Diceros bicornis minor: one gene and its partners. The protein of the gene in region 3 interacts with the protein of the main gene of each other region in a biochemical or structural test. Links are inferred from orthologs where the notes say so. Each region holds a gene or a part of one and is shown on either strand. Other genes may lie near its edges.

What was found.
Region 1: the proteins of YWHAQ (region 3) and BAD form a complex in vitro, tested with the Homo sapiens proteins (2 studies listed by BioGRID). The link is inferred for Diceros bicornis minor from reciprocal best matches to the Homo sapiens genes YWHAQ and BAD.
Region 2: the proteins of YWHAQ (region 3) and HDAC4 are reported together in a solved structure, tested with the Homo sapiens proteins (2 studies listed by BioGRID, with this or other methods). The link is inferred for Diceros bicornis minor from reciprocal best matches to the Homo sapiens genes YWHAQ and HDAC4.
Region 4: the proteins of YWHAQ (region 3) and MARK2 form a complex in vitro, tested with the Homo sapiens proteins (2 studies listed by BioGRID, with this or other methods). The link is inferred for Diceros bicornis minor from reciprocal best matches to the Homo sapiens genes YWHAQ and MARK2.

The regions. Positions count from the first base shown.
Region 1 is NC_080770.1:8,706,948-8,714,826, reverse strand, and holds the start of BAD (bcl2-associated agonist of cell death), read right to left. Parts: upstream 3,018-7,879; 5' UTR 2,968-3,017; intron 2,686-2,967; 5' UTR 2,678-2,685; coding exon 2,491-2,677; intron 1,109-2,490; exon of another isoform or gene 1,029-1,108; coding exon of another isoform or gene 938-1,028; intron 1-937. Other genes in the region: integral membrane protein GPR137, read left to right, coding at 4,844-5,200, 5,284-5,333, 6,030-6,255, 6,365-6,514, 6,640-6,768, 6,877-6,995, 7,385-7,796. UniProt on the Homo sapiens protein: Promotes cell death. Successfully competes for the binding to Bcl-X(L), Bcl-2 and Bcl-W, thereby affecting the level of heterodimerization of these proteins with BAX. Can reverse the death repressor activity of Bcl-X(L), but not that of Bcl-2.
Region 2 is NC_080776.1:26,625,864-26,633,095, forward strand, and holds the start of HDAC4 (histone deacetylase 4), read right to left. Parts: upstream 3,013-7,232; 5' UTR 2,728-3,012; intron 1-2,727. UniProt on the Homo sapiens protein: Responsible for the deacetylation of lysine residues on the N-terminal part of the core histones (H2A, H2B, H3 and H4).
Region 3 is NC_080751.1:70,440,973-70,448,100, forward strand, and holds the start of YWHAQ (14-3-3 protein theta), read left to right. Parts: upstream 1-4,109; 5' UTR 4,110-4,205; intron 4,206-4,305; exon of another isoform or gene 4,306-4,330; intron 4,331-4,572; 5' UTR 4,573-4,634; coding exon 4,635-4,928; intron 4,929-7,128. UniProt on the Homo sapiens protein: Adapter protein implicated in the regulation of a large spectrum of both general and specialized signaling pathways. Binds to a large number of partners, usually by recognition of a phosphoserine or phosphothreonine motif.
Region 4 is NC_080770.1:9,074,015-9,080,905, reverse strand, and holds the start of MARK2 (serine/threonine-protein kinase MARK2), read left to right. Parts: upstream 1-3,874; 5' UTR 3,875-4,381; coding exon 4,382-4,435; intron 4,436-6,891. UniProt on the Homo sapiens protein: Serine/threonine-protein kinase. Involved in cell polarity and microtubule dynamics regulation. Phosphorylates CRTC2/TORC2, DCX, HDAC7, KIF13B, MAP2, MAP4 and RAB11FIP2. Phosphorylates the microtubule-associated protein MAPT/TAU.

The DNA of each region.
Region 1 (7,879 bases), on a different chromosome or scaffold from region 3:
ACGAGGTATATACCGCCCATGTCCACTGCCCTGCTCTTAGCTGAGCTGCCCCTCTGCTGGGCAGCAGACCCCCGTCTCCCACTCAAGGACATCTCTCCGGCAAGTCTCCCCTCTCTCCTGCAACATCCCGTATTTCCCTCGCTCCTGGATTACTCCCATCAGCTTATAAACATGTTATTTTCTTTTCCCTTTCTATCTTAAAAAAAAAAACACAACACTTCCTTGCCTCGCCTCGGGCCTTCAGCTGCCGCCCACCCCTTGGCTCCTCGATACCGGAGGACAGCTGCTGAGAGCGGGCTCTCTCCTGTCTCCAGCTCTCTTCCCATTGTCCCTCCCCACTGAGGTCAGCCTTCCGCCGCCTCCCCACCATTGCGGTGGCCCCAAGTTGTCAACGTCAGCGCCCCATTCCCAGCCCTCCTCCAGTGAGCGGCCCTCCCAGGAGCATCGTGGGTCCAGAGCCCCACTCCTTACGAGCCCCATACGCCTCCCTGGGCCCTGCATGCTCTGGGTTTCCCTCCCACCCCGCTGCTCCCTCCTTCTCAGTCCCCAGGGCCGGCTCCTCCTCTTCTGCTGCCCTCTGAAGGCTGGAGCCCCCGGCTCAGTCCAGGTCCCCTCCTGTCCACACTGGCTCCCTGGGCCTCACAGAACAGGCCGTCGGTGACTAACAACTCCCACGTGCACGAATCCTGCCTGGACCCATCCCTACTAGAAATCTCCACCTGGATGCCAAAAAGGCACCTCTAAGCTGACCTGGCCCAGCTGGGCTCCTGATTGTCCCCCCATATCTCAGTTCCATCTCAGGAGCAAGCCCGTCCTTCCAGGCGTCCAGGCCAGATTCCTCGCAGCATCCTCGACTCCTCTTTCCCTCACCCTCACATCCAGTCCGGCAGCAAATCCTGCTCTACCTTCAGAATAAACCCCGAGTCCAGCTACTTACCACTTGCAATGCCACCGCCCTGGCACAAGCCACCATCCTCCCTCGCAGGGACTCGGGCGCAGGCTGCGGCCCCACTGCTGCTTTTGCCCATTGCAGACTCAACACAGGGGCCCTGGGGATTCTCTTGATGCCAAAATCAGATCACCCCGCAGCTGCTCAAAGCCCTCCCATGTTTTCACTCAAAGTAAAGCCAAAGTCCTTACCTTGGCCTTCAAAGCCTTGCCTGGCTGCCCCTCCCCCTCCATTAACTCGATGCATCTCCAGCTCCCAGCCCCTCCCCTCACTGGCCTGGACCGGTGAATCCTGCCCCCAGGGCCTTTGCATGCACCCTTCCCGCCCCACAGATACCTGCGTGGCTCACCCCTCATCCCTTCCAGCCTTTGCTCGAACGTTGCCTCTTACCGAGGCAACCCTGACCACCTCAGCTGAAGTCACTCCCCCAGGCCCGGTACTCCGAATTCAAAAGAGACAGGCAAGACTGTTTGGCGCACTGCCCCCGGCTGTCATCTTCTAATGCACTCTATCATTTTCTTCTTGTTTATGGCTTGCCTCCCCTAACCCCAGGACAGGGTAGGCTCCACGAGGGCAAGGATTTTTATCTCATCTGTCACTGATGTACCCCTGGAAGCTGGGAGACTACGTGGCACCTATTAAGCACTTGATACAGAGGATGGGGAGGAACAGCCAGGTGGGAGGTGGAAAGCTTTTTCAAGCAGAAAAACAGCAAGTGCAAAGATCTGGAAGTTAAAGCCGGTGGAGTTCCGTCTGACAGGGCGTGTGGCGGAGGGCTGGGGAGGAGGCTTTAGTAAGCCTTCTTGCTCCCGAAAATGAAAGGGGTCATGTAGGTTTCAGCACGCGAGGGATGTGATTTTTGTTTTCAGATCTCTGTGGTTGTTCCAGGTGCCAAGGCCAGTGCTGGGCACTGAGAAGGTGGGACCACTGAGAAATGGCCACTGCCCTCCTGTGCCCGTCCTCCCATCTCTCGGCGCTGGGCCGCCCTCAGTGGGCGTGGAGGGAGGCCTGTGCTTCCCCACCCCTACAGTAACCCACTGACCGGGCGGGCTGTCTGCCTCTTGAGGTCACCTGCCCCTGGCAACGGGCAAGGATAGCCCCGGTGTGGGTGTGACCACAGGGCGGGAAGGAACATACCTGGGGACTAGAAGGCCCATCCCAGAGAAAGCACGCAGCCTGGGGCAGAGCGCTGATGGAGCCTTCCAGCCCCGCTTCTTACGAAAGGAAATGCCAAGCAAGTGTGACCTTAGGCAAGTAACTTCCCTTTTCTGGCTCCCTGCCTGCCTCTCAGATTTCTGTCCTGGTCCTAACAGCTACATTCTTTGAGCATTCATTAAGCACCAGCACTATAATTAAGTGCTTCCTGTATACTCCTGCTATTCATCCCAACAGCCCTACAATGGTGGTGATTAATTTCTCTGTTTTACAGCAGAGGAAACAGAGGCGCACAGAGGTTAGGGACTTACTCAAAGCCACCCTATGAGTGTGGATGCGGCTGGGGTGCAGGAGGTCCTGGGCTGGGGGCAAGGGGGTGTGCCTACCTCCATGGTGGCTGCTGCTGGCCGGCTGCTCCTGCTGGTGACCGGCTTCCCCCAGGAGGCCTGGGGCCGTGCGCTGGTGCCTGACCAGGCCTGAGGGCCGGTCCCCCGTGGGGCTGGGGCCCAGGCCCCTATCTGCAGGGCTGGAGTCTTCTTGCTCACTCTGCTCAAACTCTGGGATCTGGAACATGCTCTGGGCTGTAGGGGCAAGATGGTGCGTGGCTAGGGGCAAACGGTGGCCGGCGGGGGAGGTGGGGGGGTAAGGGTAGGCACCCCTGACCCCCTCTCCCACCTTAGAGCCCCAGGTCTGCCCTGCCTCCCAGGCCCCCATCTGTCCACTGAGTGTGGGCCGGGCAGGAAGCTCAGATTGTCCACCCAGGACCCAAATCTCCTCGGGGAGCCCTGGAGCGGTGGAGCAGCCCCAGGCCCCTACCCAGGCCCCGGCCTGACCCGCCCGTGGTGACGGCACCCAGGTCTCACCCCAAGCCCGATCTGGAGGCCCTTGACCCGAGCCCGCCACCGCCGCCGCCGCCGCCTCCCTCTAGTACTGAGGGAGCCCAGCCCGAGTTGCCTGGGCAACGGAAACTGTCACAGACCCGGCCCAATCAGCTCTCGATATGTCACTAGGGCGGGCCAGGAGGCGGGGCCGCTCCCGGCCCGGCCCCGCCCCCCCCGCCGGACCCGCTCTCCGCCGCCCGCCTTCCTGCCTGGGTCCACTCCTCGTCTCCGGACGCTCGGCTCCCGGCTTTCTCGTGCCCTGGGCGTGTGTGGGAGCAGAGGAGGGATTCTCTGGGGTCCCCACCGGGAACCTGGAGACCAGCTTCTGGTGACAAGTCCTTCCGCCCCTCTGGCCTCAGTTCCTACCCCTGTAGAATGGGGATAATGACACCTCCCTCAGGAGCCACTGATCATTGTAAACCGTGTGTGAAAGCACTTTGCAAAGCCGTCATTGAAGCTTGGCCGCCGGCTGCAACTGTCGTCGCTGTTGTCACTGCCCCGTCTGGATGGGTGGCCGGGTCGGGAAGTCCCGCGCCCTCCTCCTCCCCACAGTGGAAACCTCGCAGCGCCCGCATCGGGCACCACTCCCCGCGCCATCGCGGGAGCGCTCGAGATAAGCGAGCAGTCTCCTGCCTGGCGGGATGGCTGCCCCGGCGCAGGAGAGCGGACAGGGCCCCCTGGGAGGGTGACCGTAGGACTCGCGGGGTCTTCGCGCCTGGCAGGCGGCCGCCCAGGTGAGCGGGAGCCGCTGCCGGCCAGGGCGTGGGGCGGCGGGCCGCTTGGGGACAGCGGGGACAGCGGGTGAGGCCCAGGGGGCGGGGCCCGGAGGCCATCTTGGCTGTGGGCGGAAGTTTCCTTCAGGAACCGGGTGAGGGGAAGTCGTTGCCGCCCTCAGCCGGGCGGAGCGATCTCGGCTTGGCTATGGGGAAGAGAAGCATGGGAACTGGCGGCCCCTCAAACAAGCAAGGGCCGGTGGCCCCGGGCACGGCCCCCCCAGGCGCCCGCCGGATGCGGCGCGGCCCCAGCGTCTCGGCCGCCTGCAGCCTCTCGTAACCCCTGGCGTCCGCCGGCGGCGCAGCTGCGCCAATTCTCAAACGGCTCCGCGCCGGGCGCGGCGCCGGACTGCGGAGCCCGGGCCAGACCCTGCGCAATTTGCGTAGCGACCGGCGCCCGCGCAGGCGCAGGAGGGGGCGGAGCAGCGGGAGCCGGGGAGCTGGAGCCCCGGGTCCCAGCGACCGGAGCCGGCTCCCCCAGCGGCGGCCTGAGGACCCGGCGTCCGCCTCCTCGGGTCCCCCGCGGCTGGAGGGTGGACGCAGTGGGGGTGGGGTGGAGGCAGCGTCCGGAATCCCGAGGACGGAAGGCAGAGGCCCTCCCCATCCGGATCATTGGAGGGGAGAGATCTCCCCAGTTTGGGGAGGGGGAGAGCCGGGCGTTGAACGCCCCCCGCAGCGGCCGCTGCCCTGAGCCCACGGGCATCGGCCGGCTCTCCCCCTCCTGCCGGGACGACTCGAGCGACCAAGGCCAGGGACCTCTCTCCTTCAGCCTCTGCAGTCCCCTACCCCGGCTCTGGGGTGGTGCAGGGGAGACACCCCCCACCCACCTCCTCTACCCTGGAGAGGAGAGACTGCCCTTCCACGCCCCGAGTGAGGGGCGCAGGCTCCAGGCTGCCCGTGCCCCGCTGCAAGGGCGAGGGCCCCTCTGTGGAGGGGGAAGGGCCTGGTGAGCCGCAACTTCTTTCCTCGCGAGCGCCCCATCTCCATCTCTGTACCCTGCAGCTCCCACCCCTCCGTATTTATTTCCCTGGCCCCCTGCCAGCCCCTCCATCTCTGTCTCCGGGATTCAGGCCTCCCTCCCTGACATGGAGAGTAACCTATCTGGCCCGGTGCCTGCTGCTGGGCTGGTGCCTGCCCTGCCACCTGCTGTGACCCTGGGGCTGACCGCGGCCTACACCACGCTGTACGCCCTTCTCTTCTTCTCCGTCTATGCCCAGCTCTGGCTGGTGCTGCTCTATGGGCACAAGCGTCTCAGCTACCAGACGGTGTTCCTGGCACTCTGTTTGCTTTGGGCTGCCTTGCGTACCACCCTCTTCTCCTTCTACTTCCGAGACACCCCCCGTGCCAACCGCCTGGGGCCTCTCCCCTTCTGGCTTCTCTACTGCTGCCCTGTCTGCCTGCAGTTCTTCACGCTGACCCTCATGAACCTCTACTTTGCCCAGGTAACTGTGGTCCCGGGTGGGGGTGGGTGGTGGTGGGGCAAGCCCCAGAGGCCCAAAGGAATGATGGGCGTCTCTGCTCCCAGGTGGTGTTCAAGGCCAAGGCGAAGCGTCGGCCAGAGATGAGCCGAGGCTTGTGAGTACTCGGGACACTGGTGGGCTCAGCCCTCAGGCCAGGGAGCAGCCCGGTGTCCATTCCTTCCTCCCTTGCAGGGCTGAGGCAAGGACCACCCCAGGAGTGTTTGTGAAAAAGCTTGGAAAAGTAGGGCTCCTGGGGTGGATGGCTGAGCAGAGGCGTAGCATAGGTCAAGAAAAATTATAATAGAAACAGTCGTGAGTGAGGGGAGAGGGTACCAGTGTCACCCATGATGGAGGAAGAGTGGGAGGCTTCAGCCCAAGCCAGACTGCACTTCTGGGTGACCTTGCGTGGCGATATCCTGTCATTTGTATAACGTCTTCCAGTTTATGACGAGCTTTCACAAACATCTTTAATTTTTACAACTTACCCCTGAGGCTCTTACTATCGCCATTTGAGAGATGTAGAAACTGAGGGCCTGCAAGGTAAAGCAGCATGTTCAAGGTCGTAGACCTGGCAGAGAGCAGAGCCAGGGCTGAAACCCAGACTTCTGACTCTCAGTCCGGTGCTCTCTCCACTCGACCACAGCTGTCGGTCACCATCTGATCTCTTTGGGTCTCAGTTTCCCCATCTAAAACTGGAGGGGCAGTCTTCGGACTGGATTGGTCTGGATTGGTTCTGACTGACCAGGGTCTTCTGTGGGAGGTGGGGTGATTGAGCGCCCAGGGCTGGGGCTGACTGTGCTGTGGGCCGCAGGCTGGCCGTCCGAGGGGCCTTCGTGGGGGCCTCGCTGCTCTTTCTGCTGGTGAATGTGCTGTGTGCCGTGCTGTCCCGCCGGCGCCGGGCACAGCCCTGGGCCCTCCTGCTGGTGCGAGTCCTGGTGAGCGACTCCCTCTTTGTCATCTGCGCGCTCTCTCTGGCCGCCTGCCTCTGCCTTGTCGCCCGGCGGGCCCCCTCCACCAGCATCTACCTGGAGGCCAAGGTAGGGCCACAAGCCCTGATGCCTGGGTATCCTTTGGGGGTCTTTGGGCAGTGGTCTTCAGGGTAGAGAGGAAGCTAGAGCCTCCCCTCCCTGTTGTCATCTGTGCCAGGGGACCAGTGTGTGCCAGGCAGCCGTGATGGGTGGCGCCATGGTCCTGCTCTATGCCAGCCGGGCCTGCTACAACCTGGCGGCCCTGGCCTTGGCCCCCCGGAGCCGGCTGGATGCCTTTGATTACGACTGGTACAACGTCTCCGACCAGGTGGGCATTCGGCACGTCTGCCGCCTCCTTAGTAGCTGTGGCTCCTGGTCCCCAGCTGGCCTGGGCCCTATCTGGGTGCCCCATAGCACGACTGCGGACTGACACAAGCCCCTGCCTTCCCACAGGCGGACCTGGTGAATGACCTGGGGAACAAGGGCTACCTGGTGTTTGGCCTCATCCTCTTTGTGTGGGAGCTGCTGCCCACCACACTGCTGGTGGGCTTCTTCCGGGTACACCGGCCCCCGCAGGACCTGGTGAGGGCTGTGGAGAGGGGTGGACATGGAATCCTGGGCTGGGGTCTAAAGGGTTTGTGGGAGGCCAGTGAGGGCAGGAGAAAGCATCAATGGTGGCTTCCTCCCCAGAGCACCAGCCGCATCCTCAACGGGCAGGTCTTTGGCTCCCGTTCCTACTTCTTCGACCGGGCTGGGCACTGCGAGGACGAGGGCTGCTCCTGGGAGCACAGCCGGGGCGAGAGCACCAGGTAGGAGCCCCGGCCCTGCCTCAGACCCCTGGGCTCCCGGCTTGCTCCATCAAGCTATGGGGACCTAGTCCTGGGTCTTGCCACCCATCCACCTGCCTGGCCCGCCGTGCTCTTTGATTCCCGTCTGTACTAGATGAGGTCTCCATCTCTCGCCCCGAGATGCAGTTTGCATCCTGGAGGTCTCGGTCATTGGTTTCTGTTCTGAGGCTCTCTCCCTCCCCCAGCTCTTGTGAATGTGGCCCTGGTCACTGCCCTGGGACTGACGGTGTTTCTCTGCCTGCAGCATGTCAGGCAGCCTAGGCTCCGGCAGCTGGTACGGCGCCATCGGGCGGGAGCCAGGCTGGTGCGGGGGCAGCCAGACGCGGACCACTCCTCTGCTCTTCTCCCAGGTGCTGGGACCAGGCGGCCACCACCACAGTCTCTACTCCACCCCACAGACGTGATCCCCTTCTGTTTCCCCCCAGAACACCCAGACCCCAGTCCTCCTACCCCAGGCCCCTGTGCCAAGTTCACCTGCCGCTTCTTGCCCAGGATCCTGGGGGCTGTGGCTGCCTCTTCCCCTGGCCGGCTGCTTGCTACTCTTGTTGTAGTGAGCTTATGCCGTCCCCTAGGATGGGAGGCATGGCCCTGGTTGCCAGATGCCCACAGCGCCTTGGCATGACCTGCTGCCTCCGCTTCTACACTGGAGCCAGCGACCTCTCCTGCACCTGCCACTCAATAAACAGTGTCTGTGCCCCGCGTCCATTCACTGTCTGTCGGTTGTCCGCTGTGTGTTCCTTGCTTCGTCACCTGTTTAGCTGAAGGCTGATCAGACACCTGCCCTTGAAGGGGGCTGCTGGGCAGGGAGAGGGAGGAGCCTGCCTTCTCAGGGGAAGGAAGAGCCC
Region 2 (7,232 bases), on a different chromosome or scaffold from region 3:
CTGTACCTTCCTCTAAGGTCAAAGCCAAGAGCCCTGAGCCCACTGCACACCACAGCATATGCTGACCATCTGAGACTGAAACAAAACCCCCTCCAAACTCGACCCCTGCCCTCCACCCCAGGCCCAAGGAGGGGGCTGCAACCAACGGGGAGGGACTCGCCCTCCGGCTGGAACAGCAGGAGCTCAGGCCCAGCTTCTCAGGCTGCAGAACGAGGGCAAAATCCGAAGCTTCCACGGAGGCTGGACAGGCATGTATCCCCTCTCATTCGCTGCCTCTCCCTCACTCCCTACATCAGGTATTAATCTATTACTCATAGCAGCTTCTGAGCCATGAAAGCCCAGCCGTTTTCAATAGAGAACGAATGGTATGGACGAATTCTACAGGAGTCATGACATGTTTCTTCTGCTCCAGCAGTTAAGACGGCACAAAGTCCCTTTCCTCTGGTGCCACCCCCAACATCAAAGGATGAGAATTCAAAGCCATTCATGCAGCATTGAAACCTCACAATGAAGCTGGAAAATGGAAGTCGATTACTGGGCATAAATATGCAGTAGTTAAAAAGAAAGAGTTATAATGAAATTAAACTGCAGCAACCCCACGATGTGTGGAAACTTCCAGAACTCGAGTCCTCCTGGTAAACATCAAGAGGGCCATCCGTATAAAGCAGGTTTCTGACTACTGAAAGTCAAGATCTGCCGCTCCAGCTGCACATGGCCACGGTGCCATGTTGTTCTGTCCATCTTGCTACAGTTACAGCCCCCAAGGCCTCTGAGAGCACAACATTTGGAGATTTTTATTTTGCATGGCTGCGAAGCTGCTGACCACAGAACATTCTCTCTTGGCTCAGGGCTGCTTAGGCCACATCTGTCCTTGGTCCCTAGGCCTTCCAGGCCTCCGTGCAGACCACAGTCATCCATCCCCCAGCCCCCACCCCGGCCCCAGGGCTCCCCCAGGGGCACTCATGCTGCCAGCTCCCCTTGCAGGAGAAAGAACTAACCCTAAAGAGGGCAGTGTTACATCTGCCTGCCGCAAAAATCCTGCTTCTTTTCTGATTGATTACTGCTCTCTTTAGGAAGGTATTTGATCTTTAAAATAAAAGTCCAGAAGACAGAAAGCTAGAGAAGTCTTACAATGTGTCAGGGTGTGTGTTTTTAAGGCAGGAAAATACTTCCCTCCCACACAAATGTGAGTTCTGGGGAAAGATGCCACAGATCCCAGGGAGTGGAATATCTGGGAAAGCTTGATCAGAATTAAAAATAGATAATGGAACACAGATTGTAGAATTCTCAGGAGCTACCTGAAAAAAAATTAAATCTCACATCTTTTTGATATCCAAAATTCCATCCTGATGAAACTTCTAACAGGGTGGCATTTTGCATTCCCAATTATAATAGAGTAATTGTGTTGCCATAGTTACTGCAAAATTCTGCAATAACTTTTGTTGCTTTGTAATTGCTGTAGAGTATATTTGTGTACAAGCAGCTGAGTTTTCTTAATTCAATCTCTCTCGCTCTCCCCAATCACCACCACCACCTCTCGTGGCTAGATTCTGAAGCCACCACACCAGCTTTCACAGGACGGTCTCTCAAATAATGCACCGAATTATCAGAAGCAATTAAAACTCCAGGCAACCATGATCGTATTACAAAAGAAAAAGTGAAACCAGGCCAAGGAGCAAACCCACCAGTATTCCCTCAATCCTGCTGGGCAGGCGCTGGGCGAGGGCTGTTTACATGTTTACTCCCAGGCCTTCCATGCTTAGATGGTTTGTGGGAATAAACAAAAAAGCCGGAGTAACGCGGGGAAGCAAAGTAACAGGCCCGGTCCTCCCCCACTGAGGGCAGGCAGAGCTGCTCTCAGCAAGCAATTACATAGGTCTCTACAGTAATGCAATTAGGATTTAGTTAAGAAAGTCATTAGTTTTAAAATAACTTAAGTTTAATTTCTGCCACGCTTTATTTGAAAATTGTGTCACAGCAGGTCAATTTACAACATGCAATAAAGAAAACACTCATATCAGCGGCTGCAAGTTATTACAAATTTTTGATGTGCATTAAATGAGTACACTGGGTTCCACCCCCGGCCTTTCCGACTGATACGCACAGTCTCCTGCTATAACAGTGTCAAATAATTCAACGTTCAATGTAAATACGAGATAATTTGCTTATAATGCCGTGGTGTGTGTTTGCAATGCCGGGAAACGCCGCTCCCATCCTCCGGGCAGGACGGAGCCACGTCTCGGCCCGTGGAGATCCTGCGGGGACCCCCTCCGGGTCGTGGACAGACCCCACCCCTCCCGCGACGGGCCGGGGGCGCACCCGCCGGCGGACGGCGCACCCCACGCCGCGGGCCCGGGAGGGACGTTTTTCTGCAAACTCACAGGCGTGACAAAGTTACATAAACGGCGCGGCGGGCTCCGGGGCCCCCGGCCCACCTGCCGAGGGCTCGGCCTGGACGGCGGGCGCGGGGCGGCGTGCGCCCCCCGCCTGGCGGCGGCCCTCGTTCTGTCTGGGCTGCAGGGGAGGTCCAGGCGGGCTCGGCTCCCGCTCCGGAGAGCCCCAGCGCTGGGCGCGCGCGGCCTGGGCGCACGGGCCGGGCCGGGGGCGCGGAGCCGGGCGTCCACCTGCCGGGGCCGGGCGGCTGCGGGCGGGGGGCGTGGAGCGGCGGCCTGCGGCGGGCGGAGGGGGGCGGACAATGGCCCGCGGCCGGGCCGGGGCTGCGCTTACCGCGGCGGCGGGCGGCGGCGGCGGCGGGCGCTCTAGCCCCGCGCGGGCGCTCCGAGCCGCATCTCCTCAGCCTGCGCCGCCACCACCACCACCCCGGCGGCGGGCGGGCGGCGGGCGCTCGGGCGGCGGCGACAGCGGGGACGCGGCCGCGGCGCGCCGGGCCCAGGCGGCTGAGGCGGCGGCGCGGGCGGGCGGGCGGCGGGCGGGCGCGCGGGCTCGGGCGCGGGCGGCGGCGGGGACGGTGCTCCGCGGCGGCGGCCCCACAACCTCCCCTCCTCATTCACAAAAAATTGACCCACGTTGAACCATGATGCTGCTCCCCCCCGCCACCACCGAGCCGGGCGCTGATAGGCCACCCGCGACGCCCGTCAGCCGCGCCGGCCCCGCCCTCCCTCCAGCGGCGCTGCAGCCATTGGCTGCGGTGGCCTTGCATCACCTCCCCTCGCGAGCCCCTCCCTCCTGCCTGGTTTCTAATGAAGAAGTCGTCAATTACGGCTCGGCCCCGCCCGCCGCCCGCCCTCCCCGGGCGCCCGGCCGTCCTCCCATTGGTCTTCTGGGACACCAGGTACAGCCCCGTCTGCTCCCGCCCCTCGTCCCGCGGCGGCCAACCGCCAGACCGGACGCTCTACGGACGGCAAGGATGCTCCACCCCCGCCCGCCTACCCGCACATGTCTTGGGCCCCATTGGCTGCCGAAGCTGCCAATCCCCAGGGCGGGGGTACTAAACGACGCTCAAGGCGCCAGCCACTGGGCGCTTCGCGGTTGAGAAAGCACGGGGAGCTCGAGCGAGTAGTGATTGTAAATACGGCCTTTGGCCCTGGCAAGTGCCCCTCGACCGCCCTCGAAGAGCTGCCCCCCACCACCCTAGGGCTCAGGACCGCGTGCCTGGCGGGCGCACGCCGCGGCGCGGGCTGAAGCGGGAAGCCGGTCAGGCCTGGCTGCGGCCTCCATCTTGGGTACTGGCAGCGGTCACGTGATGCTGCGTGCGCCCGGAGACGCAGGGGCCGTGCGGAGGACGAGTGCGCAGGCTCTTGGGCCCCGCCCTGCCCCGCGGCGGGAACGCGGCCTCCGGGGCGAGGGGGCGTGGGACGGAACCAGCGCGCCTGCGCTGATGGGAATGGTCCTGGGCCGCCTGAGGCGAGGCCGCCGTGGCTGCCGGGGCTGCGAATCCAGGGTTGGGCGGAGGAGGTGATGGGCTCGCCCTGTGATTTCACCTGGGTCCTTGGTGCTCCGAGGTCCTTGCTGGCCCGAGTGCCCAGCCTTTTGAGGCTGCCGGTGGGGTGGTCTGCGCCGCGCTAAAGGACCCCATGTGTCCCGCAGAAGAGTGACAACTTTTCAGCCTCCGTGCCCATAGTGTTTTTCAGAATCCCGTGTGTTCACCAAGTGAGACAAAGTGTGCCCGTGCATGGGAGCCACAGGGTTCGTGATTCCCACGGGTGCCCTCCAGAAACTAAATGCTGCTGATGATAGCCTGTCCTGCGTGCTCAGACCTGCATGGGAATACACCTGTTGGCAGTTCTTGGCGGATCCAGTCTCGATGGAAGGAAAGACTAAAACAATGGTATTCAAATTGCAGCGTTTCATCGTTGTTTTGTTGATAAAACACTTCCTTTCATAAAGTGCTATATGGAATCTATAGTTTAAATTAAAAGAGATCTACAATTAATTTGCTTCCATGAAACCTTATATCATGCAGGATACTTTGAAACCTCTCAGCATGTTTCACAACCAAAAATGGTGAACACTGCTCAGAAAGCTTGAGATCTTAATAACCAAAGTCTGTTAAATATGTTGGTGCTTAACTAAAGCAGCATCTTTTCTAGAAAGCAGAATCAGGTAGATCATTTAAGAACTGCATCCAAGGGATTGTTTTTTTCCTCAAATACCAAAATGTCCTTATTTCTCAGGCTTTGGTAACAAGAACCAGGAGACAGAATTACACTGAACTACATACGAAGATATACAGGGATGTCAGAGGGAACAGGAGTATTACCTATCTTGAGAACTTGGTCATGAAAGAAGAAGAAAAATCGATGGAGAAATTGCCAGAGGTGACAAGGTTATCTGAAATTACCTGCTGGATTAAAGGAGGGAGACACCCTCCCTCACTGACACCCTCAATACTCATTCTCACATCAAGGAAAAAAGACGCTGATAAATCTTCATCGCTTGTTAACTTAGTGTTATGGCCCAGATGCTTTTTCCAGGGGGAAAAGAAACAGTATTTCTGTTTTAATGAAAATCGCTCCTTTGTGGTTTTATGTCCTTTTATTTGTTTTGTAATGTGGAATTTTTGAATTTTTTTCTTTCAACTCTCCAAAACTTAAAAGAAAATCAGAAAGTAGCTCAGTTTACTTATCAATCTTAGAATAATCCCAGAGGCAAACAGAGCTGAAGCCTGCGGGAGTATCGGTGATAAAGTCAGGCTGTGGGATGTTGGCAGATGTGTGTGATTGCTTACTTTGAGGGCCTTTCCTTCTAGAAATGAGCAGAGATTAGTTGTACTGTCGTTCTTGATCAGTGACTTTTGGAGGAAAAAATGTAGCTATGTGGATAAAAATACAATTTTCAAAATGAAAATGCACAGTTTTGTAATATGTTAAATATCTTGAAAAAATAAGTAATGATTAGAAAACTTTGTGGTGGTCTAGTGGTTAAGATCTGGTGCTCTCCCTCCCTCCGTCTGGGTTTGTTTCCCAATCGTGGAACCACACCACCTGTCTGTCGGTTGTCATACTGTAGTGGCTGCATGTTGCTGTGATGCTGAAAGCTATGCCACCGGTATTTCAACTATCAGCAGGCTCACACTTGGTGGGCAGGTTTCAGTGGAGCTTCCAGACTAAGACAGACTAGGAAGAACGACCTAGCTACCCATTTCTGAAAAAAATTGGCCATGAGAACGCTATGAATAGCAGTGGAGCATTGTCTGATAGAGCTCTGGAAAGTAAGAGCCTGGCTCAGAAAGACGGGGCAGAGTTGAGCTTGGCTGTCCAGAGAGTCGCTAGGAGTCAGAATTGACTCAACGGCAGTGACAAAAAAGAAAACCGTAGGCGTTGTGGGTAGAAATGCCTGTCCTAAGCTTAACTTTGAAGCAAATGAATAGTGAATTGCAGAATTTTAAAACAAAAGACACAGCTGAAGAAAATTACCACTAGTGACCTGGCTGATGATGGAAGTGGTACCCTCATCAATTTTCGTATAAGGTGAAACAGGATCAGTGACTGAGTCACATTTAAATGATAAAAATTAAGGAACAGGGTTATTTAAAGTGTTCAATAATCAAGAGAAATGCAGGGAAAATGCTGCATATAGGTCTAGTAAAATTAATTTTACAAGTGAAGAAAAAGTGACATGAAAGAGTTCTGGGATATCCTCGGTGGGATTCACTAAAAGGTAGAATTGCATTCAGAAGAATGAATGGTCCCATCGCTGTGTGGCAGTTAGGCCTCACCTGCAGTCCTGAGAGCGCTTCAGGAAGCGAGGCACCTGGTAACTGTCGGGCCAGCATGCAGAAGAATCACACTTTCCTTTTTTTGGAGAAGAAGGACTTGAAAGTGTGTGTGGCTGTGTGTGTCTTTAGGTCTCTGAAGGGGCTGTCTGGCTGAAGGAGATCTGTCCACAGCCTGTCGGAAGAGCTCAGTACAATAGAGTTCTGCACGGTGGAAGGAAGGTCTCTAACGCTGGAGCTGAGCATGAGCGGCATGGTCAGGCACAGCCCAAACACCAGGGAACGTCCAGATGGGGCTCATACAAGGGCATTTTATAGAAGAGTCTGCAACGCTTTGCTTTAGAAAGAAAACGAATCCCATTGTTAACAGAAGAAAACAAATCCTTTGATCAGAAATAAAGACAGCCCCAAAGACTCAAATTAAAAAAAAAAACAACCCTAGAATTAGAACTTCAGCAAGGTGGCCAATTATAAAGTAAATATATAGAAAAAACAAGAACTTTCAGACATGCTAACAATATTCAGTACTTATAAATGCTTACATTATTGAGCACTCGCTATGGGACAGGCATTGTGCTAAACACTTTATATGCATTAGAAAAACTCGATGGAAAATTCCCCATCACATTAGCAAAAGAACATTTTAAATACCTAAATGTAACGTTAAATTCTGATGGAACTTCATGGGAATTGACAAAATGGTGGAATAGTTCATCTGGAAGAATAAACATTTGAGAACAGTCAGAAACAAGAGTGATGAGAGAGAAAACAAAACATATCTGGGCTCCAGAATGAAAACAACGTGGACTGGCCCAGAGCGATGGAAAATAACAGAAAGTAAAGAAACAGCCCCCAGCAAACACAAGAACTCCTGCCGATATCCAGCCAGTATGTGACTCGTCTGTCCCAGCTGCTCTGGGTGGGCATCCTTACAGGCTGGTCAGTGCCTGCACCATACCAATTGGTAACTATTTTGAACATCACCCCTGTAAGGATTTAACGTACAATCAAGGTAGCTTTTCAAATCAGTGAGAAAACCATGTGGGAGGGCACCTGC
Region 3 (7,128 bases):
GGATGTGGCCCATCCACATTATGGATGGCAATCTGCTTACTCAAAGTCCACCAATTTAAATATTAATCTCTCCCAAAAACACCCTCACAGAAACACCCAGAATAATGTTTGATCAAATACCTGTGCACCATGTGGCCCAGCCAAGCTGACACACAAAATCAACCATCACACTGAACAAAGAATGCAATCTCATGCATGTAAAACCACATACATATGTCCAAATGAAAAAGGATATATCTAGAAGGACCACTAAAATGCTAACAGAGGTCACCTCTTAGAGGCAGGCTCTCAGATTCTTTTTACTCTCCCTTGTATATTTACGTATTGTTTCATTTTTTTGTATAATGAGTGCTATTACATTTTTTATTAACATTATCATCATCACTATCATCATTACAAAAGCAATCAAGCATTTTTTAAAATACTCTATTGCCTGGCACATAGGAAATGCTGGAGAAATGTCGGAAAGCTGGAGCCCTTCCCCAAGAGGCCGGCTGACCAAAAGCTGGTTCAGAATGCCTGAAATCTAGTTTTATTCTTCAAATGTAAGAGCTTTCTTTTCTCTTAAATGCAAATCATGGCAGAAGAAATATTGTTTGAAGACTTTCTGATGTTTTTCATGACAGAATGATTTGATTAGATTTTTCCCTGAGTGCACACAGTGAAAGCTGGAAAATGTGTGGCCAAGGGGTGTTCTGGAGATGCCAGAAATGGGGCAACCACGAGGAGAGAGAGATGCCTGCAGACGGCATGAACCAACCTTGCCTGCTGAGGCCTGATGAGAGGCTGAATGCTATAGGCCCGACCCCAGCCCTGAGCCAGGGAATGTGGAGAAGGACTTCCCTGACCAGGCTCCCTCAATTTCCCCCACCCATCCTGGCTTTAGGTGAATCTCATTTAGCACCTCCGGGGGAGTGGATACTGGGGGCAACTCTTCAACGACCCACGAAACAGAAGTATTGATAATGATTATATGGGAATTTACAGTGAAAAGTCCCACTCAAATGTTTGCATGTCAGTAAAATATCTGCCATATGGCTGGAGAGGAAGAAGTTCCTCTCAGAAGACCCACTGCTCTGGGCAAACAAACCATGGAAACAATTTGTGCGAGTAAACTCAACCAGGAAGACTCGTTCATTCTGAAATGTACACTGAAAGTAGCCATTCTGCAGACCATTGACTCCACTAACTACAATGTGCTTCAAGAGATAAGCCTTCACTAGCAGTTTTACAAAGCTCAGGCATCTCCCTCCAGCCCCCTGCACCCCACCCCGGAACAGAGCGAAAGAAGGAGAAAAACTAACATTTACTGAACACTTGCTGCCAGCCCAGTATTTTCTTATGTGACAGCTCCACAACAACCCTTTCAGGTAGGGATTATTTTTACTGGTTAGGAAACTGAGGTCCAGAGAGGATCACAGTGTCCAAGGTCAAACCTCAAACAAATGGCAGGGCTGGGATTTAGGATCTTCTGGCTTCAAGTTCAGTGTGCTCCCTCCTGCTGCAGCAGCTTCTTCTCAGCAAGTAATTTAGAAAAAATAACAAGAACATCAAACAAATAAAGTAATAAATTCTCAGTACTTTCTTTGTTAGCTGTCTGCTCCCTAGAGTTCTTCTCAGCACGTTGGATGTGGATGTTTAACACGTTTCGTGTTTACTAGGAGGGAACTCCTAGAGGACGAGACTAGCCTGATTTTTCCTAGAATCCCTACAGCACAGAGCAAAGCTCTGGCAGAGTGCTTACGAGGATGGGCTTCAGCACACACATGGTGTGCATGGGTCCATATCCAGGCTCTGCCACTCACAAGCTGTGTGACCCTGCGCATAATACTTAACTTCCCTGTGCCTCCAAGTTCTTACTTCATGGTGGCATTAAGCACATTGAGTTAATACTTGCAAGACTTAAAAAAGTGTTTGACACACGTAATCACTCAATAAATGTCAGGGCTTTACATGTCCAGGGACTTCAAGTTCCCAGAGCTTTAATTTTCTCCAACCTTACTTCTTTCAGGTGCAGAAGCCTTTACATATGCACGTATCCCTTTGGTCTCTCATAAAATACTTTATGATTTCATAGTGTGCCATTGTTTCGAAGCAGTTCTTACCCATGATCCCATATGATCCTAACTATATGAATTGCTGCTCAATAAATCTTTGACGATTGAACGAAAGCAGGAATTTTAGAGACTGAGTTACAGAGAGCAGCAAAAACTTGCCCAAGGTCACCAGGGGAGATGGCAGTCTGGCCCAGACTTTCTGACAAACAGTTAGTGTGCTTGCCCCTTCCCTCCCTCCTTACCACAGAGCTCAGGTCCCCTGGCAATTCCCCTCAAGGGTCTCCGGCCCCCATCCACCTCCACTGATTCCTCTCCTTGCCTCGGCTGTATCTAATTTCAGTAAGCTTGAAATTTTGTCATACAGAAAGCATTTTATCTGACCTTCCACATGCAAATTCTTTCCATTGGGATTTCTTGGTGTCCGGCTCCACCCCAGCCCACATGGCCATAAACACTCGTGTGTCTGCAGCCTGGCCCCAGGGATTCCAGAAATAACAGCAGGGCCCTCCATTAGAACACTGGAACATAGTAAGGCATTTCTGCATCAAGAGACAGGCCCTTTCCAACCCAGGCCTCTCCTGTCTGTCAAAGCACAAAGCAACCTTTACAAGTCAGGACAGGGAGGGATAGCTGGGAGGGAGTTTAGATTTCTGGAAAGTCTGCACCTTCTCCTGCCATCTGTCTGCACTCTTCCATTCTAGAGATTCTCCAGATCTGCTCCAGTCTCCACTTGGAAGTTGAAATTCTTTCTCGGCTGTGGCATTCTTTGTCTTTCAATGATCCATTCTCCCTTGGACGTGCTGAAACTGGAATCATGGTAACATGAACCCAGATGGCAATTTTCATCTTAAGATGGCACAAAGGCCACTTTCCAGACACCCAGGACCTTATTTGGAGTAGGGCACCGGGGAAGTGCCAGAAGAGAAGGGAGTGGCAGGAAGGGAGTGCCTAGTTTCAAGAGAAAGGAAAGTCTGTCAATGACCCTGAGTAAAAGACATAAAAGACGTCTGAGGCCATCTGCCTAACTTCAGACGGGTGTTCGTTCGCTAGGAGGAGAATGTCAGAAGTCAACATCTAGGGAGAGAAGTTTAGCTTTTCAAGCGACCTTTCAAAAACAATACCAGAAATTAAAAAGCATGTACACATACGACAACGATGTGAAAAAATACATATTTAGATGCATAACCTGGAAAGGCTGGAAAGAAATATAAAAACAGTTGCTTTTTGGGGGGATGGAGTTAATGGTAGTTTTTTCACCAAATTATCCCTAATGTCATTTCTCATTTTAAAGAAAATCATAATAACTGGCATTGCCGGAGAGACCTGCCTGGACTTCCTTGGGAATTCTACAAGGGAATTTCAGGTTTTAGGTGCCCATCTGAAAACTTGAATTTATCATGTAAAAGCCATATTTAAGCCACTTTCTCCAGGAACTAATTCCTCTTTAATGGGGATGAGATTATTTCTAATTCGCAGCCGCAATCGCAACGTCATTAAAGGCTGGGTTCAAGGTACTGAGCTCCAAACCTTTGTCACGAATAGGAAGGTGGAGGAAAGAAAGGCCCTTGTGCAACAAAACAACCGATTGTGTCACCCTCCCAGGCCCGGCCCCACCAGGCCGACTAGAGCCGCAGCTGCATTGACCCAAAGATGCAATGCACCATCTGCAGCGGTGCTGCAGCAAGAGACGCAGCCGCCGCAGGAGAGGTGGTGCGAGCCTCCCGCTCCGGTGCCGCACCCACAAGTGCTGGGGGTGGCGGGAGGATGAGGGGAGTTGGTAACAGCATCGCCATGGCAACAGTGACGTCCTTTTACCCTGGATCTAATTGGAGGAAACCCCGTGGCCGAAGCCGCAGCCTGCTGGCCAACCGAACTTGCCCGAGCCGACCCACCCTCCTAGCCTCCACTTCCCCTCCCGCCCCGCCTCCCTGGCCCCCTTCCGCGCGCTCAGTTATCATTGGCCAGCGGCGGGGCGGGAGGCGGGACTCTAGGGGGAAGCTCGGCGTGTCATTGGGCGGCGGGAGAGAGGGCAGCTGCGCGGAGGCCCGCCCCTCGGCTCTGGGGTAGGCTGAGACGGGAGGGTCCTCCGCTAAAGCCAAAAGCGGATCAAAGTGGTGGGACTCGTGCCGCGGCCGCGGAGACGTGAAGGTGAGCGCCAGGGCCGCCTCCGGCCCTCCTCCGGTCTGGCCAGGCCTGAGGGCCGGGCGGGAGGCCAGCCCCCGGGAGCGGCCGGCCTCGACGCCGCTCTCCTCAGGGACGGCTCCGGCGGGAAGGTGCGGGCCAACGGCCGCTTCCATCTTGGGCGGGCGGGCGCGGGAGCGGCTCTTCCTCCTCCCCCTCCTCCTTCGCCCGCCGCGGGCCGCCTCCGCGGGCGCCCCTCGGCCTCCTGGGCGCCGGGCGGGAGCGTGGGCGGGGGAGGGAAATTCAACTGGGCCGCGCGTGCGGGGACAGACAAAAGGGGCGGCGGGCGCATTGTCTGACGGCGCCGCCCCCGCCCTGTGTCCGCCGCCCGCAGGCCCTCCGCACGCCTCCTCCGATCCGGGTCGGTGCTCGCCCTCGCTCTCCTCTCCCGTCCCCATGGAGAAGACCGAGCTGATCCAGAAGGCGAAGCTGGCCGAGCAGGCCGAGCGCTACGACGACATGGCCACCTGCATGAAGGCCGTGACGGAGCAGGGCGCCGAGCTGTCCAACGAGGAGCGCAACCTGCTCTCGGTGGCCTACAAGAACGTGGTCGGGGGCCGCCGGTCCGCCTGGAGGGTCATCTCGAGCATCGAGCAGAAGACTGACACCTCCGACAAGAAGTTGCAGCTGATTAAGGACTATCGGGAGAAAGTGGAGTCCGAGCTGAGGTCCATCTGCACCACGGTCCTGGTGAGTCCGCTCTCGCCGGGCGGCGGGAGCCGGGGAAGTGCCTCGGCGTGCGGAGGCCCTTTTGTGTGAGGCTTTCGTGGAGAATTTCGTGGGAGCAGGGAAGAAATGTGGGCCGGGGCTTGCCTAATCGTCTGCCGACGGAAAGGGTCTGGGAAGGTTCGCCTTGGCCTCCTTAATGAGTTATTTCAGTTCTTGAGACCTAACAAGCTGCATTTTCAGGGGTAAATAGATCTTTCCCCAGATGCTGCGTTGCTGCCACACAATATAACTTTGAAATATCCAAGTAGATTTGTGCAAGACTGAAAATCGTTTTTAGGCTTACCGAGGAGATCTGGGGACCCCTTAAATATATTTCATCAGTTCATAGGCTTGAGTTGAAAAAAAGTGCAGGCAGGCACCTTTTCCACAGAGACAGTATATGCCGTAGATTTTCCTCCCAAACTAATGGAGATTTACTTCGAAAATAGAACAGATCCTGCATTTTTCAAGTAAGAGTATTTGTTGAGTTTTTTCCCTGTTAATAACGGGGGAGAGTTTGGTAAATGTGGAAAAGGCGCAGCTAAGTCTGAAGAACAAAGTGTCCTGGTAAATTTCAGTATTTATTAACATTTCCTTGCTATTACATAGCTATACGTAAACTCTAATGTGTTGAATTCATTTCTCGTGTGGAGCAGGCAAGGAAAGCTTTCCAGGTTTTGAACTGTCCAGTTTTAGCAAGGGTGGCTGTTGGGTGGAGTAGGTGCCTGCTGTGATTCACCCTTATTAGTGAGAGAGAACATTTTTAGCTTTGTCATTGCATGGATCTTTTGATCAGTAAAATAAGTTTTTAAAATTTAAATACCAGCATTATCTCCTGGAGTGTTTTGAAGTGTTTTAATACTGCAAAGAGTCTTTTCTAGCAATAAAATAGGAAATATCTGATGCAGTTGCCTTTTTTAAGTGCCAGTTTTACAAGAGGCCTACTGATGTTTGACGTGTTCCTTGTATTTTAGGGGGGCTTTGAAGGACAAGCATGCTCGATTGGTGATTTTTCACGAGGGAATAGAAGGGAAAATGCCTCTTTTCCTTCCAGCTGTCTCTTCCTTGCCCCATGAGATTCATGGGGCAGGAAATTTTTTTTTAAACTTCTTTAACCTGTTTTTCCAATACAAATAACTGGTGATCTGCACAAAATCATGGCTGATGGAGATATCAGGTAAAGGGGCAAAGAAAGCAATGCAGAGAGTGTGTACTAAGTGGAGAAAACTCTATTGAGATTATTTGCTTTATGAAGGCAAGACTGTATGGTGTATTCATCTACATCTTAGCTTCCACTCCCTGCCTGGCATAGAGGAGGCACTTATAAAAGCTTTTGAACTGAATTGCTTGTATTCAAGAAATTTGCCAACTTGGAAGTGACAGTAGCCTTCGATAGCATATGGTAATGGTTGTTGACAACATAGACTCTATTATCAAGGGAAGACTTATAAGAATTCCATACATTAATGAGAAGCTTTTCTGTATATGTATTGCTTTTGGGGGCTGTCATCGCATATTTCAGTCTCTTTTTGTGTTGTTATTATTTTAAAGTTTCTTAGTTACCCTGCAGCAATTAGGAATTACCATAAAATTTTTCCTGTTCTCTAGCAAGTTAACTCTGAGCCAAAGGACTATTTGTTTTATTTTGTGGCTCTTATAAATTTTAGTTTTTATGACAGCGTAAGTGGAAGAGAGTTTTGCTTAGTTGATAAATGACTTGGAAGAGAGACCAGGTATATTGGGGTAGACCTTTCATATACGGCATTTCAGTAGGAGAGAACCCTTAAAATTAGGATAATTTTTTTACACCAAGTGAGATAGAAGAGTTTAACTTGACTAATCTGAGACACTGAGGCATAAATAAAATATTTATATTAGTAAAATGGCTTGAGAGACTAGTTGTGACTTAATGCCCAACCTATAAAAAAACCTGGGAAAGCCCATCTTCAAGTTGGTGGCTGTATTTGAGAGCTTAGTATGTGCAAGGCACTGTGCTAAGCAGTATGGGGAAGAACAAAGCTGAGAACCGTAGATTTTGTCCTCCAGTAATTTGTGAGTGCACATGAGAAATACACAAACAAATAATATATAATTCTCAAAGGATGGTTATGAACAAAATGCTATGTAGTTTAAAGGAAACAGAGTGGCTCATTGAGGGAGGAGAGTCTGAGGGGGGTCAATA
Region 4 (6,891 bases), on a different chromosome or scaffold from region 3:
GAGTCAGAGGGCGTGGGTGGGTCTTGCTTCACCCCCGGCTTCTGACTCTTGATCAGAGGGCAATTCTGAGGCAATCCTGCACCTCCCAGAGTGGCCTGCCTGGAATGCGCATCCTCTCTGGCTCCTCCGGTCGGAGGGAGAAAGGTGAAGATGAGTTGCAGTGTTTTGGAGGGATGAGAACAAGGATGTCTTCCACTCCAGCACTCTTACCTCTTCTTACTTCTTTCCTCACAGCTCATGCATGTAGGGGGATTGCTCCCCTGCCAGAGCTGGGAATCCCGTAACCTCTGCCTTCCGGGATCCCAGGGGGCATCACGGCCGCCCTGGAGCACGGCTCCTATTGGCTGGTGTCCACCTGGTCTAGGGCCTGTGGTAGCTGCCTTTACTCTTGTGTTTGTTTTGTCTTTAGTGTTCAGGTTGGAAAGCTTGGAATTATCCTTAACTTCTCTCCCAGACCCCCTAAGCCAATCCATCGAGAAATCCTGTCAGCTCTACCTTCCAGATATATCCCAAATCCTTCTCCTTCTCACTGCTTCCACTGCTGCTGCCCCACCCCAAGCCACTGTCATCTCTCACTTGAATTATGTAAAAGCCTCCTTCCTGGTCTCCAGGCTTCTGTTCCTGCCCTGCCCCTTCGCTCTGTTCTCAACTCAGCAGCCCATCAGATCATGTCCCTGCAGCGGCTCCTCATCTCACTCCAAGGGAAAGCCAAAGCTGTGGCCTAGCTCCACATCCCCTTTCTGCCCTCTCCACTACTCAGCCCCTCACTCTGCTCCAGTCTCCTTGGCCTTCTTGTTCTTTAAACAGCCAGGCCCGCTCCTGCCTCAGGGCCTTTGCACAGGCCATCCCCTCTGCCTAGAATGCTCTCCTCCCAGATATCCACAGAGCTCACTCCCTCACCTCCTTCAAGTCTGCTCAAGTGTCACCTTCTCAGTGAGGCCTACACTAACCACCTTAGTCTTTCACCTCTACCCCCTCACCCCAGCAACCCTGACCCACCTTAGCTGGCTCTATTTTATTTCCATGACACTTAATACTATTACGTCTGTTGTCTGTCTTCTCGCAGTTGTAAGTTCCCCAAGGGCAGAGATCTTTGTTTTGTTCACTGATACACCTAGAAGAGTGCCTTGCACATAGTAGGTCCTCAATAGAGATTTGTGAATGAATGAATATGCAGATTGGAGGGGGGTAAATGTGCAGTGATAATTAATCTTTAAGGAGAACTAGGAAGGCTCCGGGATTGGAGAAGGTGACATCTGAACTGAATCTTGAAGTACGTCCGGAAGCTGAGGTAGGTGACTGGCCATTGATCAGCCTGAACAAAAGCATGGAGGTGAGAGAGCCTGGTGGCCGGGCTGCAGCTGGGGGGAGGTGTCAACCAGCAGTGCTGAGTTGGAGAGGATATTAGCAAGCTAAGTTGGGGCCAGATTGTGCAAAGCTTCCAATGCAGGCTAAAGGCTTTTTTTACCTCCAGGACTGGTTACGAAATGTCTGGGGCCCAGCGCACAATGAAAAGGCAGGGCCCCCTTGATGAAAATTACAAGAGGATGACAGCAGAGCATTACATCAAACTCAAAGCCCTTCTAAGAGTAGGGCTTTGTGTGACTGCACAGGTCCTAGGCCCATGGAGCCAGCCCTGCCTGTCCCTCAAGGAAGCTGGTGAGAACCTTCCAGCAGGCAGAGATGTAATTAGAGCTGGACTTTAGGAAGATTATTCTGGCCTGTCTGGTGGAGTACGTCGGAGGAAGTCCAGGCAGGGAGACCAGTTAGGCAGCCTTGTGAGGAAGACGAGGGGACAGGTGGGGTGGGGGTGGGGGCTAAAGGTCAGAGGGCAGGGGTGAGAACACGAGCGAGGACAAGGATGGAGAAGGTAGAGTTTGCTGAGACGAGAACCTGGGCCCTGGCAGACCCCCGAGCACACCTTCCTCTGCTCCTCCAACCTCTTCCCCTTCTTCCTTCTTTCCAGACCCTTGGAGGTGACACCGGACACAGGACTCAGCAGTGTGTCTCCCTTTGGCCACCAGAGGGCAGATCATTCTCATGGATTTTCAGAGAAGAATTTGGGGTTGGGGAGTGGAATGTCCCCTGTCCTCACCTCTTCCTCTTATTTGTCCTCACCTCCTCCTGTGTTCCTTCATCAACGGCTGGGTGCCTGGATGGAGCTGGGGCAGGGCATGGGGAGTTGTCCTAGAGTCCCGGATATTTACTAGGTCTGTAGGTGGTACCTGTCGCCTCAGGAAGTACTTTCATATCATTATCTCCTTGCGTCTGTCCGGCTGCCTATTTCTCTGGGTGACTTGGCCGAGGGCTCTGCTCTAGAAACTGTAGCTGGGAGTTGGAAGTGAAGCATCCGAGGTCCAGCCAGCACTTTTTCTCGCAATCCCTGGGGCCTCTCTGCTCCTGTACCTTTTTGGGGACTTGATGCTTGAGCCTGGTCTCTGTCTTCTGGGGGGACTCTGGCTTCTGCCCACCTGAAGCTGCTGTTGAGCCCTGGGAGGCGGGGGACAAGGGCAAATTCCAACATGTCTGGATCTGATGGGTGGGAGCCCCTTGGAGCCAGAGGAATCAGATCAGCCTCTCCCAATGAGACAGTCTAGGGGGAGTGAAGAGTGGGCTCAGTTTGCCACATGGACTTCCTGTTAGTCAGGAGCTCTGCAAAAATGAGAGGGACCTGAGAGCTCATGAATCCAGCGACCTCGCTTTATTGATGGGGAAACTGAGGCCCAGGGAAGGAAAGGAACTTCTCCAGGTGCCCATTCTTTGTGCCATCCTGAGGCATCCTCATCGTCAACTAGTTTCTCTCTCTTTTTCCACGAGTTTTCTTGTCTTAGAAGGGATAACTGAAATGTGAATTAAGATGAGAATTTCTCTCCTGCCTTACCTTACAGGGGTATTTAAAAAGGTAACTGGTGTGACTCAACATTACCACAGTGTGATGTCATTTTGTGCTATTTTGAACAATTAAAAGATTTTTTTTGAAATTAAAAGGTCACTGGAATTTAAAGATGTTATTTAGAATGTCATCCCTGGAACAAAGGCACGGATTCTCTCAGTATAGGGAGGTCAAGGAGCCTGCACTCAGAGATGTTACGTGATTTTTCCAAGGTCACACAGCATTTTCAGTCCACAGAACTGGGCTTGGGATGCAGGGCTGGGGAGACTTCTGCAGCCTCCCGCAGCTGGGAGCCAAGGACGCTGACCAAGTGTCTGCCCAGGTCCTTGAGGTGCCCTGCGGACTTGATGTGGGTGTATGGGTAGATAAATAGAAGCCAAGACAGACGATGGCAGGGGATGAATGATAGTAGACAGACAATAGGCTAACACTGCATTTGACGGGTGACATATGTTGATAGACAGGTTGGGTGACAAACGAGATGGATTTTATGAGCTGACCAACAGACGGACGAACGGACGCGGAGAAGGGAAGTTGCTTTAAAACCGAAGGATGCCAATCGCAAGGACCGCTGACAGCCTTATTTTCTATTTAGTCAAATAATAACAAGCACAGGTGATCCACGCTCCCTTTCAAGATTTGAAAATATCCGAAAACTGACGGAAAGAAACGAAGAGTCAGATTCTGGATACCTCCTGAGGGAATGACCCGGGGCTCGCCAGGCCTCGGGTGTTGCCGGAAATGGCCGACGACAGCCGTCGGCAGCGGAGCGGGACGGGGGCGTGGCCGGCTCACGGCTCGCAGAGCCTCTTCGGGTGTTTCCGGAAACTGCCGAGCGCCAGCTTGAAGCGGGCGGGGAAAGGCCTGTGGGCGTGGCTGGAGTACCCGGGGTGGCTTCGTGGATTTCCGTAAACAGAGCCGAAACTCGGTCTTCGGCATCAAGGAGGCGCGCGCGTCCCCAGGGGTTACCTTCTTCGGGTGTTTCCGGAATTCACCCGTAGTCCGTGGCCGGGAGGAGGAGGCGCGCCCCCCTCCCGTTCCTAGCCGCTTCGGATGTTTCCGGCTGCTGCCGGCGGAAAGAGCCGAGGGCCGGCGGTGGTGGCGGCCATGTTGGGAGCAGCAGGTCCGGCGGCGGCTGCCTGTGTGCCGGGCGCGGAGCAGTGCCGCTGAGGGCAGGGGAGGAGCGAGGCGGGCGGCCGGCTGCGGCGGCAGAGAGTAGGCGGAGCGGCGCGGCCCGGCCGAAAGGCGGCACAGCCCAGCCGGGGGTCGGGGGGGTGCGGTCCGGAGCCGCTCGGAGCCGGCGCGGCCTAGCCCGAGCGGCGCATCCCCGGGCTGGCGTGAGCGGCTGCCCGGCCTCCCCGCACCCCCGGCCGGGGCCCATGCGGCGGGTGCCCCTGCTGTGAGAAGCCCCGCCCGGCCGGGCTCCGCGCCTTCCCTTCCCTCCCTTCCTCCAAGCTTCTCGGTTCCCTCCCCTGAGATACCGGCGCCATGTCCAGCGCCCGGACCCCCCTACCCACGCTGAACGAGAGGGACACGGAGCAGGTAAGGAGCCCCGAGGGCTCCCCGGATTCTCTGGCTGGGCCCCTGCACCTTGCGGAGCCTCCTCCCTCCTCTGCTCTCCTCGTGCCCTGCTGCCACCCTGCAAGCCGCGGCTGCCCTGTCATCTGGCTCTCGGCCCCGCACATCCCCCTCCGAGTCCGGTCTTGGGACCCACCTCGTCCAGACTCCAAGCTGCACACTTGTCTTCCTGCCGACCCCCCTTCTGCCCTCACCGCCCTCCTGCGCTCTTCCGTGTTACCTCCCCAGCTTCCCCTTCTCTTCCCTTTTTCTCTCGGGGGCCTTTTTGGTCTTTCTCCACCCACGCTTAAAGCAGCCACCCTCCCACTCCTCGAAGAGCACTCCGCGGTGTGCCCCAGATCGTCGTCCACCCCTTCCTCCATCTCTCTCGCCTTGCTCCCCCTCCGCCCGCACCGGTTCTCCCAGTCCCTGGTTATCACCCTCAGGGTCCTTCCCCGGAGTGTGTTCTCGATCCCTGAACCCTGTCCCCTTCCAGTTCCTCCTCTTTTTTACCCTGCTTCTGCCCTCTCCAAATTGCGCTCTCCCTCCTGCTTGCAACCCACCAGCTCTACCCTCATCACCTTTCCCAATCGCTCGCCTACTCTGTGCTCATCACTTTCCCTTCTTCTCTCCAGGAGCTCCCTGGTGCCTCGCGCTGGCATTTGTTGCTTCCGTGTTTCCCATACAGCTGTCATGCGCATAGTTTTCCCACAGGTTGTCTCTGGGGTTCCAGTCGTCACTCCCTTCAAAGTCCTCGGATCCCTCGCGTTCTCTTCCCCCCAGAGTTTGGCTTTTAAGTCTCTTGGCCTCCTGTTTCTCCCTGTGGGTGCCTTACCAGCCTTCTCCCCGGGCTCTTCCTACCGAGGGAAAGACACTATTTCAGCCCCACTCCGTTAACACAACCTGTTGCTTAGTCCTCTCCCGGGCCTCGCTGCATCACCGCCCTTGCCTTTCTGTTTTCTTACATCACAGCACAAACCATGCCTTCCTGTCGCTTCACTCCCGGATCCGTCACTTTTCATAGTATCTTCCTCCTTGCTTGTTGTCTTCCGGTTTCTTTACCCTCACTTCATAATCCTTACTGTGTTTCTTAATCAGGATTGCCTTTCATCTCGGTATTAGTCTCCTGCCTTCTTCACACCGTGTTTATTTCCCCACATATGCCCCTCTCCATCCCCTTCCCATTGGCTAGTCTTTGTAACTCCTGGGCCCAGGCATTTTGCATGCTCGTTTCTTGAGCTACACGCTCCCTCTCATCCTGGCAATCACTGCCGTCATTTGTCACCCAAGCCTTAGCCTTTTCTCTGTCATCTCACCTCTGAGCTGAGAGGCATCCACTTCCACCTCTCCCCTTTGTTTCACCATCTCCAGTGTCCCTTGCTGACTGCTCTGTGGAGAGTCCCCTGCCTGTCACGCCCTTCTTGGTGGAGAACTTTACTAGGCCAAAAAAACTTGACTCGAAAAAGGAGCTCTTCTCCCCTGGGGCTGCAGTGCTTTTTGCATCCTTTTCCCTCCTTACATCCTTGCTGCTTTCCTTTTGTTCCCTTAGTTCTTCGGAGCCCAATAGAACCGTCGTTATAGTCTCTTGCATGTTAACCTTTTCTGAAAAATCTTCCCTCTTTTCATTTTTGCTACGTTCTTTTCTTTTGTTACCCCCGGCTCTGTGTCCCCTGGGCAGTCAGACACTCAAGAGGAGTTCTGGACTGAGTTTCTCTCTGCAGTGGTTCTGGACTGAGTTTCTCTCTGCAGTGGTTGACCCTTTCATTACTGACGGATTGATTGCTTGTGGGGTTGAAACGGGCTGAGAGGGAGGGATGGGTGATTTCCATTTCATCACTGGGTTTGGCAGCTGGTTCTGCAGGGGCCTGAGGTCTTTGGAAACAGGAGCATGGTCTGTATCCCACAGGCTTTCCCTCGCTTGCCAGCTGTTTCTCTCCTTACCGGGAACCGCTTTCTCCAGGCCCTCTTGACGTTGCCTGTGCCATTCCTTTTCCCATCACAACCTTTGTTTTAGCAAGTGAACCCTGCCTGACCAGAGAACTTTCCCAGACTGTTGATTGTGAGCTGGTAGGAGGAGGCCAAGTGACTGACTGGCACCCTCAGGCATTTGGGGAGTGGCTTGGAGTGGAGTGCCTACTCTCTCAGCGAGCCCGTGGGGGGCATTGTGTTCAGCAAAGTGGAGTAACAGACTGCCTCAGTGTGGTTTCTTTGTGCTGTTTACTAAATGTAAATGTATTCCCACCATGGTCTTTTTCTTGTGATGTGTGCATTGATTTCCTCTCTTCCCTACATGCCCAGCATACTGCTGAGCGCGTAGTAGGAACTCGGTGCACACCATGGATTTCATGCTAGCGGTAATCGGTGAACCATTTGGGAGTGTAAGCTGCTGTTTGATAACTTGGTCCGGGGCAGTGCCTGCATACATTGTCATCCTGTTCCAA